Linked DNA regions of Caenorhabditis elegans. The protein of the gene in region 1 interacts with the protein of each later gene in a pairwise test. Each region holds a gene or a part of one and is shown on either strand. Other genes may lie near its edges.

Region 1 (6,909 bases):
TTTCTGTCATGGACTGCGGCAGTAGGTTAAGCCTTGAATGGCATAGTCGCCAGAAAGATGGATGTGAGCGGCGAGTAGCAGTATGCAGAAAAATTCATTTTAGTATTTTTCGAGACGTTTTGACCTCACTTTCCAGAATTTTTTTAGAAAATTGAGCTCGGATGATTTTGTGGGTCGTTACGCCTTGCGAAACCAAAAAAACTGAGTAAATTTCGCAAAGTTGAATTCATGAAATATTCAAAGGTTCTTGCTAGGCGCCAGTGTCGACACAGAAAATTTTCATATGCTACAAAAACAATTAAAAACGCTTCTTCACTTCTTTAACTTTAAATTTAACATAAAAATCATACATCTGCAAATTATTGGCGTGCGTGGGAGGTGTGTTTGTGTGGGAAGTGCCGCGTGCCAAATTACCGTTTTTTCGAAAGGGTTCGCCAAATTGTCGAGGTGATAAAGATCGCACCTTATTGGGAAACATTACAAATTTTGAGTCAAATTGAAGGACATTTATTCAGCTATCAGTATTCGATAGAAGAATGTACGTATGACGTGGCAGTCGCGCGAAAAGCTCATGTAAAAGAGCGCTTCATGTGTTACCATACTTTTGGCCCACCCTGTAATTATTCAACTTACAGTTCTTTTTCCACTGATACTCATGTTTCTAAATCCCTCGCCGATTACTTGGTTCGTGTTGTTAGAGGCAACTCGTCTTGTAAGACCACTGATTTTCTCTTCCACGGTTCCAAAAAACTTCATACCATTGAACAAATCTTTTTCAGATGGTTTCACACTGAACTTATTTGTGTGAGTTTTCGAAATCTCAAATCAAAAGCTTACGCCTGTACAGTTATTTTGTATCTTCCAATCTCCAGACCCTGGTTCGTAGCCTTCGCTGATGCAAAGTTGTTTGTAGAGAATACTAAAATTCCATCAGCATTCTTCTCCAAGTTTGCCTCAATTCCGTGCACCTAAACAACAATTTCTTTAGTAAAGTTAATTTATTCTAACCTTTGCAAAGTTTCCTTCCACAGTGACTTGCAGGTTGAGTCTCTTTAATTGGAAATTCTTTGGATGCTCTGCCAATGAAACTGTAGCACTGAGAAAATTTCCAAGTTTAATTCCACTCTCTGAAAGCATTCTTTCCGAAATATGGACTGACAGATTGTGATGGGAACTGTAATACTTGGAATAATTGATATGATTATTTTAATTACTGAACGAAAATTGAACAAATATGAATCATAAACTGGTGTACTCACCCAAGGCTAATAATCTGGATAAATGTTGAACCATCCGAATAGTATCCTCTAAATGCCGCGAAGAAGTCGATTATTTGAGCCATATTTTATCTCAAAACAAATCAATAAAACTTTAAAGAATGCCTCCAATCAAACATAATTAAAACATTTTTATGAAAAATTCAAAACATAGAGCGAAAGAATGTTCACTTATGAAACCAATTCTGACAAATAAATTTGCTCATTCTTAAGAAGTTGATCAATAAATAATGGAGAGGCCCGAGAACATTCTCAATGTCTTCGCTCCTATTTCAGCATTTGTTGGCTTATCAAACATTTGCTTGCTATTGATAAAAATGGACATTAACCTATTTATGAGAATGTGTTGAATGAATCACTTTTATTTTAGAAGAGTAATTTTCGAAAGATCAAAAACCAACACGGGTTCAATTTCACATCATAGAGGATAATCTTTAGCAATTTTCCTATTCGAACCCAGCGATTTGAACTGAAAATAGCTATTCTGAGAATAAAAAACAGAAAATAATCAAGAGGTCGGTTTTCATTTTTTGAGGCACTTGTATGAAGTCTAGTTTTTAGTTTTTAATTACAACGAAACGAACTACAAAATTTGAAACGTTGCTTCTCTCAAACCTATTGAAGAATTTCAAAATTATAGAACCATTCTGGAAGGTGAACAAATGCGACACAGATGCAACAATTTGTATGCAGTAGCCATGCAGAAAACACAAGAAATCAGCACTTCATTCAAATCTTAAAAAAAAAATAAATTCAAAGTTAATCCGGTTTAGGATGTATTCATATATTTGATTATGTTAAAGGGGATATTCATTTTTATAAGATAACTTCAAATCACATTAAAACGTTTTTTAACAGTTGCCAAAATCCTTTTAGTAAGTTTAATATATGTATTTCTTATAGTACTTCTTTGATAGTCCATGCAAACTTTTGCCCAACTTTTTGTCGTTGCGTGATAACCGTTTTTCCAGTACAATCCGTTTTAAGGTTACGGAGTATTTGTTTGATGTCTAGCTGGAAAACGTTTGATTATGTTTTTACTTTATTTTTTAAATATCAATGGTGTCTCATTAAAAGAAACAATTGGTGAATAAACATACAATAAATCCGAAATGCACTGCGAAGACTTGTGGATACTGTGTCATATTAGTCATTGGTTGATAATGACTAATTGTTGTTTTTATTTCTAACAAATTTCCGACTACATCGACGGGAAACATATCTTCAATCTGCCTAACGTATTTGAAGCATTGCCAATTCGATTTCGCATTTTTCTGAGAATTATTTGTTTATAAAATTAACATTTTTTCTTACTCTTTCTTCAAACATTCCTTCAAAAAAGTGCCCCACAGTCAGGTTGTATGTTTTCGAAAAAAATATTGCTTGTCTGAAATTGTTCAAGTTCAAAGTTGATGGAAAATAGCTTCTTACTCGTAACGTTCACAAATCCATAAAAAGTAAATCGTGCGGTGATTTTTCTTAATTACTCTATAGATGAATGCGTTCATCTGAAAAATTTACATATTATCAGGTTTTGTTAATTTTTCTGGATAGTGAATATTAGAAAAAGTTTATTTTCTGATTATCTCACCGTTTTGATTTTGTTTTCCGGTTGTTGTCGGGACTGAAATCCCTTCCCAACAGTAGTCGAGGATGTGCTGGAGCTACACATAGGAGGAGCCGGCTCAATTTTCTTTAGAACGGTGGCGCAATACTGCAAGTTTTTGAATTTGCTTTCTTCTTTATGATTTGTTCTGAAAAGTTATCTGTTTGTGTTCGATTACCTTTAAAAACTTACGCTCTAACAGTAATCATATATTTTCCAATAGCAAGAGTTTGGTCAATAGCTCTAACAGTTCCGAATGATTCTGTTTCAAAAACTAAGTCTTCATCTCGATTCCTCACTAATTCTCCTTCAATCCCATCAACCTAAAATTGTTATTTTTCATAAAAACTATACTGTGAAAACTCTCACAAGTGCAAAATTTCCATCAATTTTCACATTGAAATTGTGACTTTTCAATTGAAACGCGTCGAGACTTTTCTTCGATCTGATAACCGCAGTTAAAACATTACCCAATGTGATTCCTTGTCCATTGAGATCTGTTTCTAATATGCGAAAGCTTTTATCGTTATCAGATCTGTAAAACCGTAACGTATGTATTAGGTATAGATTGAAAAAAAAGTTACAAACCCCAATCCGATCAAGTTCAGGAATTTTGTGCCATCAATGTAATACCCTCGATATGCGACGAAAAAAGTTGTAGTTGTCATGTTTGAAATTAAAAATTTTTGCTGAAATGAAGTATTATTTTATACATTACAACTCGAGTGCAACACTAATAGAGGAAATACGTCAAAGTATAAAACATTTCATTCTTAAATTCCGACAAATTATTTCTTCAAATTCTCGAACGATTTCATGCAAAATTGCAGTTTCATTCGAAAATAATTAGATAAAAATCGAGAAACACAACTTGCTCACTCCTAGTAGGAAATGTTGTCAGTTTTCTCTTTTTCGATTTTCATTCGGCGATTGTGTGTATAGGTTTTGTTGATAAGAAACTGAATTGATTCAAATAAAAAATGCTTCACACGGAAAATTTTATTAACAAGAGGAGTATGAGTCAGTAAATTTTCATAAGTCGAATATTCATTGAAGAATGATGTAATTTTAGGTTTTTTCGTTCATGAAATAATCTTTGAAAAACAAAAAATACTGGAACAGATTAAAATTTGCCAATCTTAAATTAAAGCTGAATATCAACCTTTCCTAACTTTTATTTTCTAAATGCCTTCCAGGAGGAACCGTATATTTTGGATAACAATATCTTGATATTTTAGATAAAAATTTATCGCGGTAGAAAAATGTTTAACACCAAAATCTAAGGAATCTATTAACTACTCAGATGGAAAGCCAGACAATAAAAAAAAATCTATGTGGTTTTTTAAATTCAAATTTGATTTTACTATTTTGAATTGTGCATTGTATAATACAAAATTTGAAACTTATTGTTTGAACCAGCATCAAAACTTTTTTGTTTCTCTCTGTATTATATTAATCATAAATATTCGCTTAATTTCTTTTTTAAACCTTCTTTCGGAACAGTGTAAATAATAAAATAAAAATATATTAAAAACAATTAATTGAATTTGTCATCCGAGTTTTTTTAGTCTTTACTTTTTCAGTAAAGTTTTAAAGCGAGACAAAATTTTGAAAAATTGCTGTTTACAACATATCAAATTATGCCAGTCTGCCACCAAGATTTGCAAAAACAAATGTTTTGAAAATAATAAAAGTAATATTCATTGAAAGGAGTTGTTTTACTCATTTAAAATATCTGTTATAACCCATCCATATTGTTCTTTATCAATTTTCATCATTTGAACTTCAACTTTTTGCCCTTCACAGTTCTTGGGAAGTTTATTGTGTCTGTCATACTGAAAATTGAATTAAAAAAAGATTTTTAAACAATTTCCCAAAACTTACTACAACTCCTAAATACTTTGCTTCAACTTCTGGCCATTTTCTTGTGTTATTCTTTGGTTTATAGTTTGTGACAGTAGTTGTAAGTTCCACTTTTTCATTACCGTTGTACTCATTAATAACTACTGTTCCATTAATTAATGGTTCGATTTTATTGTTGTACTGCTCGCATTCCCATTTTCCATTTGACTGAAATTTAGTAAGATATCCTTGGAGCCTGAACAGTTTCAAAAAAGTTACCTTCTGTTTGAAAATTCCTTCAAAAAAGTAACCCAACTCAAAATCATATTGTGGTAGTTTCAATATAGATTTTCTAAAATATTTATCATATATCGGAGCAGTAACACGTTATCTTACTCCATGATATCACAAATCCACAGGAAGTGAAATTTAGTATGTGGATATTGATGAACGGAATACACAAACGCTTTCATCTGAAATTGAAACAAAATTCGCAGGAATTATTTCCCCAACTGTAAATATTACCAGCCGTGGAGCAGAAAGGTTTTGTGGAACGCGTACGCTATTTTCGGCTTCACCAAGTTCCAGAGTCGGAAGTTGTTGGATAAGCTGTTCCATGGAAAAACCATCTAGAGAATTATTAGAAATCGTTTTCTTGATTTCCAGGGGTTCATCTGAGAGATCATCAAGAAAACTGGGGTTTTCATAAACTGAACTGTTTCTATAGTTTGAAGCAGGCTGGGCTTTGGCACGTAATTCAATTACATGTCCGCTTGCAGATACGCCTGTTCTGAAATTGAATATTTTTGATGAGTTTTCAAATATTCTAATTGTGATTATAACCATATTTTTAAAAACCTTCTACGTTTTTTGTTAGTTCCAGGGATTTAAAAAAAAACCATTTAAAAATGAAACGAAAAGTATAAGTTTAAATTTATATTTAAGTTTATTGTCAGTCCTACCGGTAAGAAATGCTCAGAATTTTGAGCCTGAAAACATGTTCCCCTGTTACAAGATTCTTACTATAAGGCTTTAATTTTAAACAATGCTCTCACAGATTTCTGGCAAAAATGTTCCGTTGATTTTTTAATTTTTCAATGAAAAAAACTCACGCGTGCACAGTAATATTGTATTCATCTAAATCTAGATTTTGATTCAACGATCTAATTGGACCAAAATCGGTTGTTTGAAAAATCAATATTCCACTAATATCCTTGATAGCTTCCATTGACGAATAACTTATCTGCAATTAATACATTTTCGTTTTCAAAGTCTATGAAAAACTCACAATAGCATAATCACCTTCAACTGTTACGTCTAGTGGATATGGAACTTTTTTGAAGTTTTTCAAGTTTTTTGGAGAATCTGAGCAAGCCACGAGGAAGTCACCGAGGCAAATGTTTGAATCGGATAGTTTATTTTCCGAAACAATAAATGTTTTATTTGCATTTGGGCTAGAAAATATTCAAAAATTGTACTTTTTAAAATTGAAAAATAATTTACCATAATCCAAATAAAATTAAATAAGGCTCTCCATCAGTAAAACCTCTTCTTGCAGCAAATAAAGAAATTGACTCCAATTGTGTATTCCATTCAGATTCATATTTCTTACAACAACAACAAAATTTTTCAAAAAATGTGGAGCAACTTTTCAGCAAAAATGTCATTCTTATCAGTGTGGAAGGAGTCGATAGATGGTTAGTAGTAAGTGTCGCTACGGCAGGTTTTCTTTAAAATGCACACTTGAACTAATAAACCTTTTTCTTTAAAAATAATTCTAAGACAAACAACAGTTTTACAATTTTTAATAAAAAAAGCTTTTAATCTGAAACTTCAAAAAGCATATCAGAAAATTATTTTAAAAATATAAATTTAAATAAATATTTTTTTTTACATTTCAAAGCAATTAAAAATGAAGAAACATTCTGTCAAACAAGTAATGGATATTTTCAGAATCAAAATATTTTAGAAACAATCCAAACATATTCGTCACTTCCAGACGCTCCAATCTTCTTCCATTCAATGTTGACTGTTTTTCCGTTGCAATTGCTTGACAATTTCGTATTCTCCGCCTTGCCCTCTAACTGAAACAATATTTGCAACAGAATTAAAGTTGCATGTATGTAAATTTAAAAAAAAAACAAACCACTTCACCGAAATATTCAGAAAATGCGCAATTGTACT
Region 2 (9,307 bases), on another chromosome or scaffold:
GGCGCATGTCTAGTGCCTTGACGCAAATCTAGTGTCCTTGACGCATTTCTCGATACCCTTGTAAAACAGCCAGTTTTCCTTGGATTTTTGCAGGATTTTCACGGAATTTCAAGAAATTTTACCTTCAACTCATCCACAAAAGGCCGCTTCTCCCCGGTTTGCCTGATAACTATCGCAGCTCCAGTAGTTCCACCCATAAAATAGTCTCCCGACCAATTTGAGGTTCCAATAATTCCCGCCGACTCGGTGACCATGAATTTATTATGCGTCCGGCGCTCCCGATTAATTACTATACTTTCAATGTTGGTACGTGGAACTTTGAAGATTTTCTGGAATATTTATTGTTTTTTTGTGAACAGTTTCGAAATCTCCATGAAATTTGCAAAATTTTAACACCCATATTGACTATTTTCTGAAAAATTAAAGTTTTAGGCCGTTCCAGGCCGGTTTAGGCCTGTTTAGGCTCAAAATTTCAGATTTGTTCAAATATAGCCAATATGGGTGCCAAATTAACGAGAATTTTATGAGAAACTTGAATTTGACACAAAAAATATGATTTTTCAAATGAAAATTGTTGCAAGTGCGCTCCATTGGTAAATTCCTTCAATTTCATCGGTTTTCCTCCAATTTTTTACCAAAACCCATGAAATTTTTTCTATTTTCTGAAAATTAAAGTAACTCACCACTTCCATAGTACCATTAGCATGGAAACCATTCAACGATTCCAAGGATCTCAGGAACCTCGTTCCAATATCCGGATAATGAAGCGCGGCGGCTAGGAATCGAATTTTGACGCCTCTAACCACCGCCCGTCGGATCGCGTCATCAATATTCGAGAAATGTACACGTGGATTACGGTAGATGAACAACGGGAAATAGTCCATAACATGGATATCAATGAATTTCTTGGCGGCGTCAATTTCCGAGACAATTGCGTCGAGGTCCCATGTACGGCGTGGGTTGTTGAGCTCTTTTGGGGAGGTCTGCAAAAACATTGGAATAAAATAGAGTGAAAATTTGAAAAATTCAGAAAATTTGACCCTAAAAATCGATATTTTCACAAAAAAATCGATATACAAAAATTTTTTAAAAATTTCCAAAAAAAAATGTTTTTTTTGGAAATTTTCGAATTTTTGTTTAAAAATTTTTTAGTCAACAATTTCTTCTGAAAATTTTCAAAAACTCACCGCGATATAAACCTGAGCCTTGGCTCCTTGTACTTGCATTTCCAGCGGGTACTCCTTGTTATAGGCGGCTTTAACTTTCAGTGCCCCATTTGACTCGATGCCTTTATTCTGGAAAATTTGAAAATTTGGCTCTGTCAGAAAATAGGGAATTTGAATTTTTCGTGTAAACTAGACAAAAGTGCGTTTAAAAAAAGCCAAAAATGCATCTAAAACTACTGTATCGAGGAATGCGCCAAGGTGGCTTGCTGGCGCAACTTTCGTGCAATTATTAAATTATGGTGCACTGAAGTGATATTAATATTGTATCAAAAAATGCGCCAAGGTATGCTGTTGGCGCAATCTTAGTGCCTTGCCACAATTTTAGTGCCTTGATGCAATTTTAGTGCCTTGGCGCAATTCTAGTTCCTTGGCGCATTTCTAGTGCCTTGGCGCAATTCTAGTGCCTTGACGCATTTCTAGTCCCTTGACGACATTCTAGTGCGCTAACGCAATTCTAGTTCCTTGACGCATTTCTAGTGCCTTGGCGCAATTCTAGTGCTTTGACACAATTCTAGTGCCTTGGCGCAATTCTAGTTCCTTGACACATTTCTAGTGCCTTGGCGCAATTCAAGTGCCTTGGCGCATTTCTATTGCCTTGGCGCAATTCTAGTGCCTTGACGCGTTTCTCGATACCCTTGTAAAATTGTCAGTTTCCAACCGATTTTCGTAATTTTTTGTGCACACCCCCAAACACATGAGGGTCTTCTTACCTTCAAATCCCACAAAACATGGAAAATATTATGCATATCCTCTCCAAGACATTCGCAATCTTCCACCAAAACACCCAACTCCATTTTCTGATTCAAACTCCGCCAGTCCAAATTCGCCGAGCCCAAATAAAAGCTTTTCCGGTCGGCGACCAAAAATTTCGAATGCATTTTTCCACGGCCCATATATTCGGAAATATCGATTGATTTCCGGGTCACCGCGCCGAAATTCTCCAAAATCACACCGTCGGCGTTGTCGCCCTTATCCTTTGGCGGGTAGTTTTCCACCATTCTGACGGCAACTTTTCGGGATTTTCCTACTGCCATTAGGGTGTTGTAGATGGAATCTCCCTGGAAATTGAGGAAATTTGAAAATTTGAAGTTTTTGGAAAAAGTTGTTTTTTTTTTCAAAAAAATTTTTGAAGTTTTTTTCGAAAAAAAATTTTCAAAAATTTTCAAAAAAAATTTTTTTTTTTCAAAGTTTGGAAAAAAGTTCTCATACCTCTACAGAATAATACTTTGCAGAGTCCCCGAGCACATGTTTCCCCTGCAAACTCGACTTGTAAGCCGCCACGTAGAGCTCCTCCTGAGCATTTGAAATTAGCGATTTCCAGGCGCGAAACGTGGATAATGGGAATACGGTATCTTCGCCGAATGAAATATTTGCTGGAATTGTTTCCACTATTCGTAATCTGAAATTTTATGAAAATTGGATTTTTTGAAATTTTCGGAAAAAAATTTCAAAAACAATTTTTTCAAAATTTTTAAATTTCTGTTCCACTTCGAAAATTCAATTTTTTTTAAATTTCCCGCCAAAACTCACTTGCAAGTATTAAAACATTGACGATCCCTAACCAATTGAATTTCTGGTTTTTCCGGTAATTTTGTGATAAGTCCTATTGTGAGGAAGGGTATTAATAATATCACGAAGCCCTGAAAAAAATAATTTATAAAGATTAATGTTTTGGTTTTTTTTTTAAGTTTAGAAAGCATTGAAGTAGAAAATTTTAAACTTCCAAGAAAAAAAATTTTTTTGGAAATTTTGGAAAAATTAAAAAAAGGTTTTATTGAATTTTTTAAAAATTATTATGTGTTTTTTAAAAATTATATTTTTAAAAATTAAATTTTTTTTCTCTGAAAAAAACAGAAAATTTAAATTCGAAACTTCAAAAAAAAATTTTTTTTGCAAATTTTTAATTTTTTTATTTTCACACTATTTATACTTTGAAAACAAAAATCCAAAAAGTAATTAAAAAATAAGTTCAATTTATTTTTCAAAATTGAAAAACTATAAAAAATTCCAAAAAATTAATTTTTGGCAAATTTATTAAATTTTTTTCAATTTTTAAAATGTCTGTAAGTTCTATCATTTTAAAATTTCTAGTTAAAGTATGAGCTAATTTTCAAATTTTTTTAGTTAAAAATTCAGAAAAAATTCTATAATTTTTTGAATTAAAAAAAATTGAAACCTAAAAAAATATTTTTTTTGGAATTTTTGAAAATTCTAAAAAAATTCAGATGACTTTTTTTTTAAATATAAAAAACTTAATAAAAATGTTAAAAATTTACAGAAAATTCCAAAAATGAATGTTTTATTTGATTTTGGAGATTTCCAAAATTTAATCAATAACATCCAATTTTCCCAACAAAAAGATCTCAAAAAATTCAATCTGAAACGTACCGATATTGTGAATTTGTATTTTAATTCATTAGATTCTTGTGCCATTGTCATGTATATTTCAACAAAAAATTTCAATTTCTCTCCAAATTATTCCCAAATTTTTCTCAATTTTCCACTCGAAAAAGTGTCAAATATCGAAAATTGTGAGGCAAAAGAGTGAAACTGAAAGTAGGAAACTATCCGGTGATAAGCACCGCGTATTTATGTGCATTTTCTTATCAGTTAATGATCTGATAGACAGTTTGTCAGGGAGCCTGACACCGTCACGCGCCTCCACAATTGACTAATTGACGTCAATAAGCCCACGGAAAATCAGGAAATTGCACTTGATAAGGGCTAAAAAAAGAGGTTGAACTTTAAGACTATGGGAAAAGTCAGTTGATTCTTGTTTTAACGGTGCGAAAACGTGAAAAAATTCAAAATTTTGGCGAAAAACTACCCAGGAAATGTCCGCTGCTCAATTTCTATAGAAATTTGGGTGTCGAAAAAGCATGTATAGCCCCGGTAAGTGTCGGCTGCTAAAACTGTAGCCACCCGGCAGGTGTCGGCTGCTAAAACTATAGCCTCCCGGTAGGTGTCGGCTGCTAAAACTATAGCCTCCCGGCAGGTGTCGGCTGCTAAAGTTATAGCGACCCGGCAGATGTCGGCTGCTAAACTAAGTATAGCCACCCGGCAGGTGTCGGCTGCTAAAACTATAGCCTCCCGGCAGGTGTCGGCTGCTAAAACTATAGCCACCAGGTAAGTGTCGGCTACTAAAACTATAGCCTCCCGGCAGGTGTCGGCTGCTAAAACTATAGCCTCCCGGCAGGTGTCGGCTGCTAAAACTATAGCTTCCCGGAAGGTGTCGGCTGCTAAAACTATAGCCACCCGGTAAGTGTCGGCTGCTCAAACCCTGGAGATGTCCGCCGCTAAGAAGCCAACCATTTTTGCAATTTTTTTTTGATATTTCAGGTAATTTTAGCTATAAAGATCAAAATCGATTATCAGGAATTTCTAGGAGCGGCCGACATTTCCCGGGTCGACGGACACCCGGAAACACCGATAGACTGTACTTTCAGACTTTTCCAACTCCACTGATTAGCCTAAAATTATCACGTGGCGCCTATTTTTGGACTGATCATTGAATACAATTTTATCATGTGATAATTATTTTTGAATTTTTGAAAATTTATCAAAATTTTGGTTTTGATTTTGATTTTCAATGATCAAAATTGACGTGATTTTTACATTTGTTTTTGAGATTTTTTGTCTGAAAAACTAAAAATGATAAGCTGATAATGGTTGTTTTTAAGCGTTTTCTGGTGTTCTGCAAGCAATTTTCAGCACAAACAATTTTGAGGACAGTTTTGAGGAGGAAATTCAAATTTTTAGACAATTTTAGGGCGGGAAAATGGAAGTTTTCGGCATTTTTACACTGGAAATTTTAAATTTCAGGCAATTTCAGGCGGAAAAATTGAAGATTTAGTCATTTTTTCATAGGAAATTCAGAATTTTCCGGCACTTCTCTATGGACAATTCACAATTTTCGACATTTTCACATAGGAAAATTGAATTTTCAGCTATGTTTAGGCTGGAAAATTGAAGATTTAGGCAATTTTGCATAGGAAAACCAAATTTTCAGGCAATTTTCTATTGGAAATTTAAATTTTCAAACATTTTTACATTGGAAAATCACATTTTCAGACAATTTTCTATTGGAAATTCTAATTAGCAGACAATTTTCTATTGGAAATTCGAATTTTTAACTATTTTTACATAGGAATCTCAAGTTTTCAGACTTTTTTCTATTGGAAAATCAAAATTTCAGACATTTTTTTATGGAAAATTCAGGATTTCAGACATTTGTACCAGGGAGAACCAAATGTTCAGACATTTTTACTTCGAAAATTTGAAATTTCAGATATTTTTAAATAAGAAATTCAAGTTTTCATGCATTTTGGGATAGGAAATTCAAATTTTTGCCACTTTTCTATGGGAAAATCAAATTTTCAGACATTTTACTATTGGAAAATCGTATTTTTAGACCATTTATATAGGAAATTTGAAATTTCACACATTTTTACATTGGAGAAATTTACAGACATTTTTCTATTGGAAATTCAAATTTTCAAACATTTTCAGATAATTATTTCCAAAAAAATAACATACCTCATGATTTTCCTTGTTTTCGAGACCTGAGCCACACTTTGTCAGAGTATATTGGAGCATTGACTGGCTTGAAGTTCTGGCTGGAATTAAAAAAAAACACGGCTGTGCGGCAAGTAGAGCAAAAACAATGTTCAAAAATTTTCAAACCAGGAAGTTTTGATTTTTAGATATTTTTACATGGGAAAATTAAATTTTAGGGCCTGAAAATTATCTGGAAATGCCAGAAATTTCAGTTTTCTTATGCAAAAATAGTCTGAAAAATTGATTTTCTTATGTAAAAATGCCTGAAATTTCAATATTCTTATGTAAAAACGGCTAAAATTTCATTTTTTATATGTCAAAATGTCTGAAATTATAAATTTCTTATGTAAAAAAAGTCCGAAAATTTGATTTTCCATAGCAAATTGTTTGAAACTTCGATGTTCCTATGTAAAAGTGTCTGAAAATTTGACTTTTCTATGTAAAAATTGACTGAAAATCTAATTTTTCTATGCAAAATTGTCTGAAATTTCAGTTTTCTTATGCAAAAATAGTCTGAAAATTCGATTTTCTAATGTAAAAATGCCTGAAATTTCAATATTCTTATGTAAAATCGGCTAAAATTTCATTTTTTATGAGTATATTTTTTTTAGAGTATATTGGAGCATTGACTGGCTTGAAGTTCTGGCTGGAAATTTAAAAAAAAAACACGGCTGTGCGGCAAGTAGAGCAAACAATTTTTCAAAATTATTCAAACCAGGAAGTTTTGATTTTTAGATATTTTTACATGGGAAAATTAAATTTTAGGGCCTGAAAATTATCTGGAAATGCCAGAAATTTTGAATTTCCTATGTAAAAATGTTTCAAATTTCAAATTTCATATTAAAGATTGTCTGAAAATTCGATTTTCCTATGTAAAAATGCCTGAAATTTTGAATTTCTTGTCGAAAAATGTCTAAAAAACTCTCAATTTTACGATCTAAAACTGTCAGAAATTTAGATTTTCCTGTGTAAAAATATTTGAAATTTTGAATTTATTATATATACAATCCTGAATTTTCAAAATTCCTATGTCTTAAATGTCTTAAATTTTGATTATCCCATTTAAAATGTGTGAAATTTTGATTTTCCTATGTGAAAATATGTGAATTTTTGAATTTTGAATTTTAAAAAGCCTGAAATTTCAATTTCTTATGTAGAAAAGTCTGAAACTCACAATTTTCCAATGTTAAAATGACTGAAACTTACAGATTTCCTGTGTAAAATTTATGAAAAATGCAAATTTTCACAGATTTTTGACTAAAAACCTCGTCATTTCCGCTTTTTTTCCAGAATCTATACGTCATAGGTTGGTTGAAACGAATGATCAATTTTGTTTTTTTTTGTGAACTTTGAATCATCACCCTCGTCAACAGCTTACAATTTGTATCATCATACTGTTTTATTTTAACATTCACTTTTTTTCCAGTTTTGTTCAGTTTTTTTTATTGGAAAATTTCATATAAAAGTCTAAATTTCTATGTAAAAACCTTTGAATTTGTTATTTTTTGTCCTAAAAATTTTGGATTTTCTACAAAAAAACCATATGCGAATTCAATTTCCTACCTAAACACCTCTGAAACCTTGATTTTTAGCTAAAAATTTCTGAAATTTCGAATTTCACATTTAACCAAAAATATTTTCCAACTCAAAAACCGTCAAACCTCATGATTTTCTGTTAAAAGTGTCTGAATATTAGATTTTTGAGAACTAAAATTCACTGAAAATTCAAATTTCCTATGTTAATGGCCGTTTTATGACACTTTTTGACCCGACTTAAAAAATTTTTTTCTTTTTTTCGGATTTTTCGGAATTTCTGGAAATTTTTCAAGTCTAAGCCTAAGCCTAAGCCTAAGCCTAAGCCTAAGCCTAAGCCTAAGCCTAAGACTATCCCTAAGCCTAAGCCTAAGCCAAAGCCTACGCCTAAATCTAAGCATTAGCTTAAGCCTAAGCCTAAGCCTAAATCTAAGCCTGAGCCTAAGCCTAAACCACAGCCTAAGCCTGAGCCTAAGACTATCCCTAAGCCTAAGCCTAAGCCAAAGCCTACGCCTAAATCTAAGCCTTAGCTGAAGCCTAAGACTAAGCCTAAGCCTAAGCCTAAGCCTAAGCCTAAACCAAAGCCTAAGCCTGAGCCTAAGACTATCCCTAAGCCTAAGCCTAAGCCAAAGCCTACGCCTAAATCTAAGCCTTAGATTAAGCCTAAGCCTAAATCTAAACCTAAGCCTTAGATTAAGCCTAAGCAATATCAAGCTCTTTGAACTTTTTGTTGATGCTTCTTCACTCTATTTCCGATCGCAAAACGACCAAAATTCCATCAATCTTCCCAAAAGTCACGCGGCGGGACCCAAAATTAATGTCAGCTGCCGTCGTAGGGAAAAGAGGCCAAACTTTTCGAAAAGTTGACATGATCATACAACACTTGGCACCCGAATTCCTGTCAAAAAGTGTAATTTGGAGCACACAGCTGTCCGTAAAGACGGGATGCTTCTTCTAAACAACCCACCCGGAGCATTTGCTCTTTGAAATGCCTCTTGGAAATGCTCCACGAGCTCCAAGAATTTTTAAATTTCAAATTTTTTTAGAAATGCACCTCCAAGAGCCTAACTTGAAAATTGTTTGCTATTATTCCCACGTCAAATTTTATCTGAAAAACAAATTCCAGCATAATTCTGAGTTTACTGGTACAGTCTTCAGGCGTAGGCTTAGGCTTAGTGTTAGGGTTAGGCTTAGGCTTGGGCTAGGCTGAGGCTTAGGAATAGGCTTCAAAGTTCATTTGCTCAATTTTCAAATTTATTCGAAAAATTCAAAAAAAAAACTTTAGTAGTTTTGGCCCGTTTTTTGAGGGTTTTAGACTTTTTTCACTTGAAATTCAAAATTTCAAAGAATTTTAAGTAGGAAAATCCCAATTTTTAGAGGTATTTAGGTAGAAAATTAAAAATTAAAAATTTCTGACATTTTTACACCGGAAATCCAGATTTTCAAAGGTGAAAATTTTTTTAAATTTCTTACAGTTTAAAGCTCATTTTCCACAGTTTTCGGCCATTTTTCCTCTTTTTTTTTCTGAATTTTCACCTAATGCAAGCCAATATTTTCAGCTCTAAATCATGTTCAAGTACGTTCTCCTCGTCATCTTCCTCATCGCCCTCATCGAGATGGCTTCAGCCGATTTTTCGTGCTATTTCTCGGATTCCATCTGCAAATCCATCACCTGCAGAGTGAGTTTTGAAAAAGCTGAGTTTTTAGATTTTAAGCGAAATTTTTTTTTTCAGAACTGCAAAGTCGCCACCTGTATCACCGGAGACTGCGTCTGCACCCTTTGCTAATTTTTTGAATAATTTTTTTATCTTTTGAAAAAAATTGAAAATTGAATTTGCATAATATAATAAACTGAATTAATCGATAACATTTTGAACTTTTGAATTTAAAATTTTCAGATTATTCCAGAAAATTTACACCGCAAAAATTCAAAAAACTCATACCCTTTCATGCCGGAAAACGAGAATTTCAGACATTTTTTTTTGGGGGAA

What was found. Proteins that work in one complex are often made in the same cells at the same time.
Region 2: the proteins of F58F9.4 (region 1) and Y51A2D.13 interact in a two-hybrid assay, tested with the Caenorhabditis elegans proteins (one large-scale study listed by BioGRID).

What each region holds. Positions count from the first base shown.
Region 1 is NC_003282.8:6,227,686-6,234,594, reverse strand, and holds F58F9.4 (Cadherin domain-containing protein), read right to left. Parts: upstream 3,573-6,909; 5' UTR 3,552-3,572; coding exon 3,472-3,551; intron 3,419-3,471; coding exon 3,253-3,418; intron 3,207-3,252; coding exon 3,076-3,206; intron 3,032-3,075; coding exon 2,869-3,031; intron 2,786-2,868; coding exon 2,709-2,785; intron 2,665-2,708; coding exon 2,592-2,664; intron 2,552-2,591; coding exon 2,378-2,551; intron 2,292-2,377; coding exon 2,175-2,291; 3' UTR 1,988-2,174; downstream 1-1,987. Other genes in the region: F58F9.3 (Restriction endonuclease), read right to left, coding at 634-790, 838-968, 1,009-1,174, 1,260-1,342; C49A9.1 (Telo_bind domain-containing protein), read right to left, coding at 4,602-4,718, 4,768-4,953, 5,005-5,077, 5,122-5,198, 5,251-5,515, 5,838-5,968, 6,014-6,179, 6,229-6,392; C49A9.2 (Telo_bind domain-containing protein), read right to left, coding at 6,681-6,809, 6,872-6,909.
Region 2 is NC_003283.11:18,573,785-18,583,091, forward strand, and holds the start of Y51A2D.13 (PLD phosphodiesterase domain-containing protein), read right to left. Parts: upstream 6,001-9,307; 5' UTR 5,823-6,000; coding exon 5,763-5,822; intron 3,768-5,762; exon of another isoform or gene 3,666-3,767; coding exon of another isoform or gene 3,615-3,665; intron 2,867-3,614; coding exon 2,757-2,866; intron 2,626-2,756; coding exon 2,436-2,625; intron 2,285-2,435; coding exon 1,937-2,284; intron 1,648-1,936; exon of another isoform or gene 1,569-1,647; intron 1,296-1,568; coding exon 1,188-1,295; intron 984-1,187; coding exon 684-983; intron 330-683; coding exon 123-329; intron 1-122. Other genes in the region: txt-14 (transcellular chaperone signaling (x)cross tissue), read left to right, coding at 8,885-8,995, 9,050-9,103.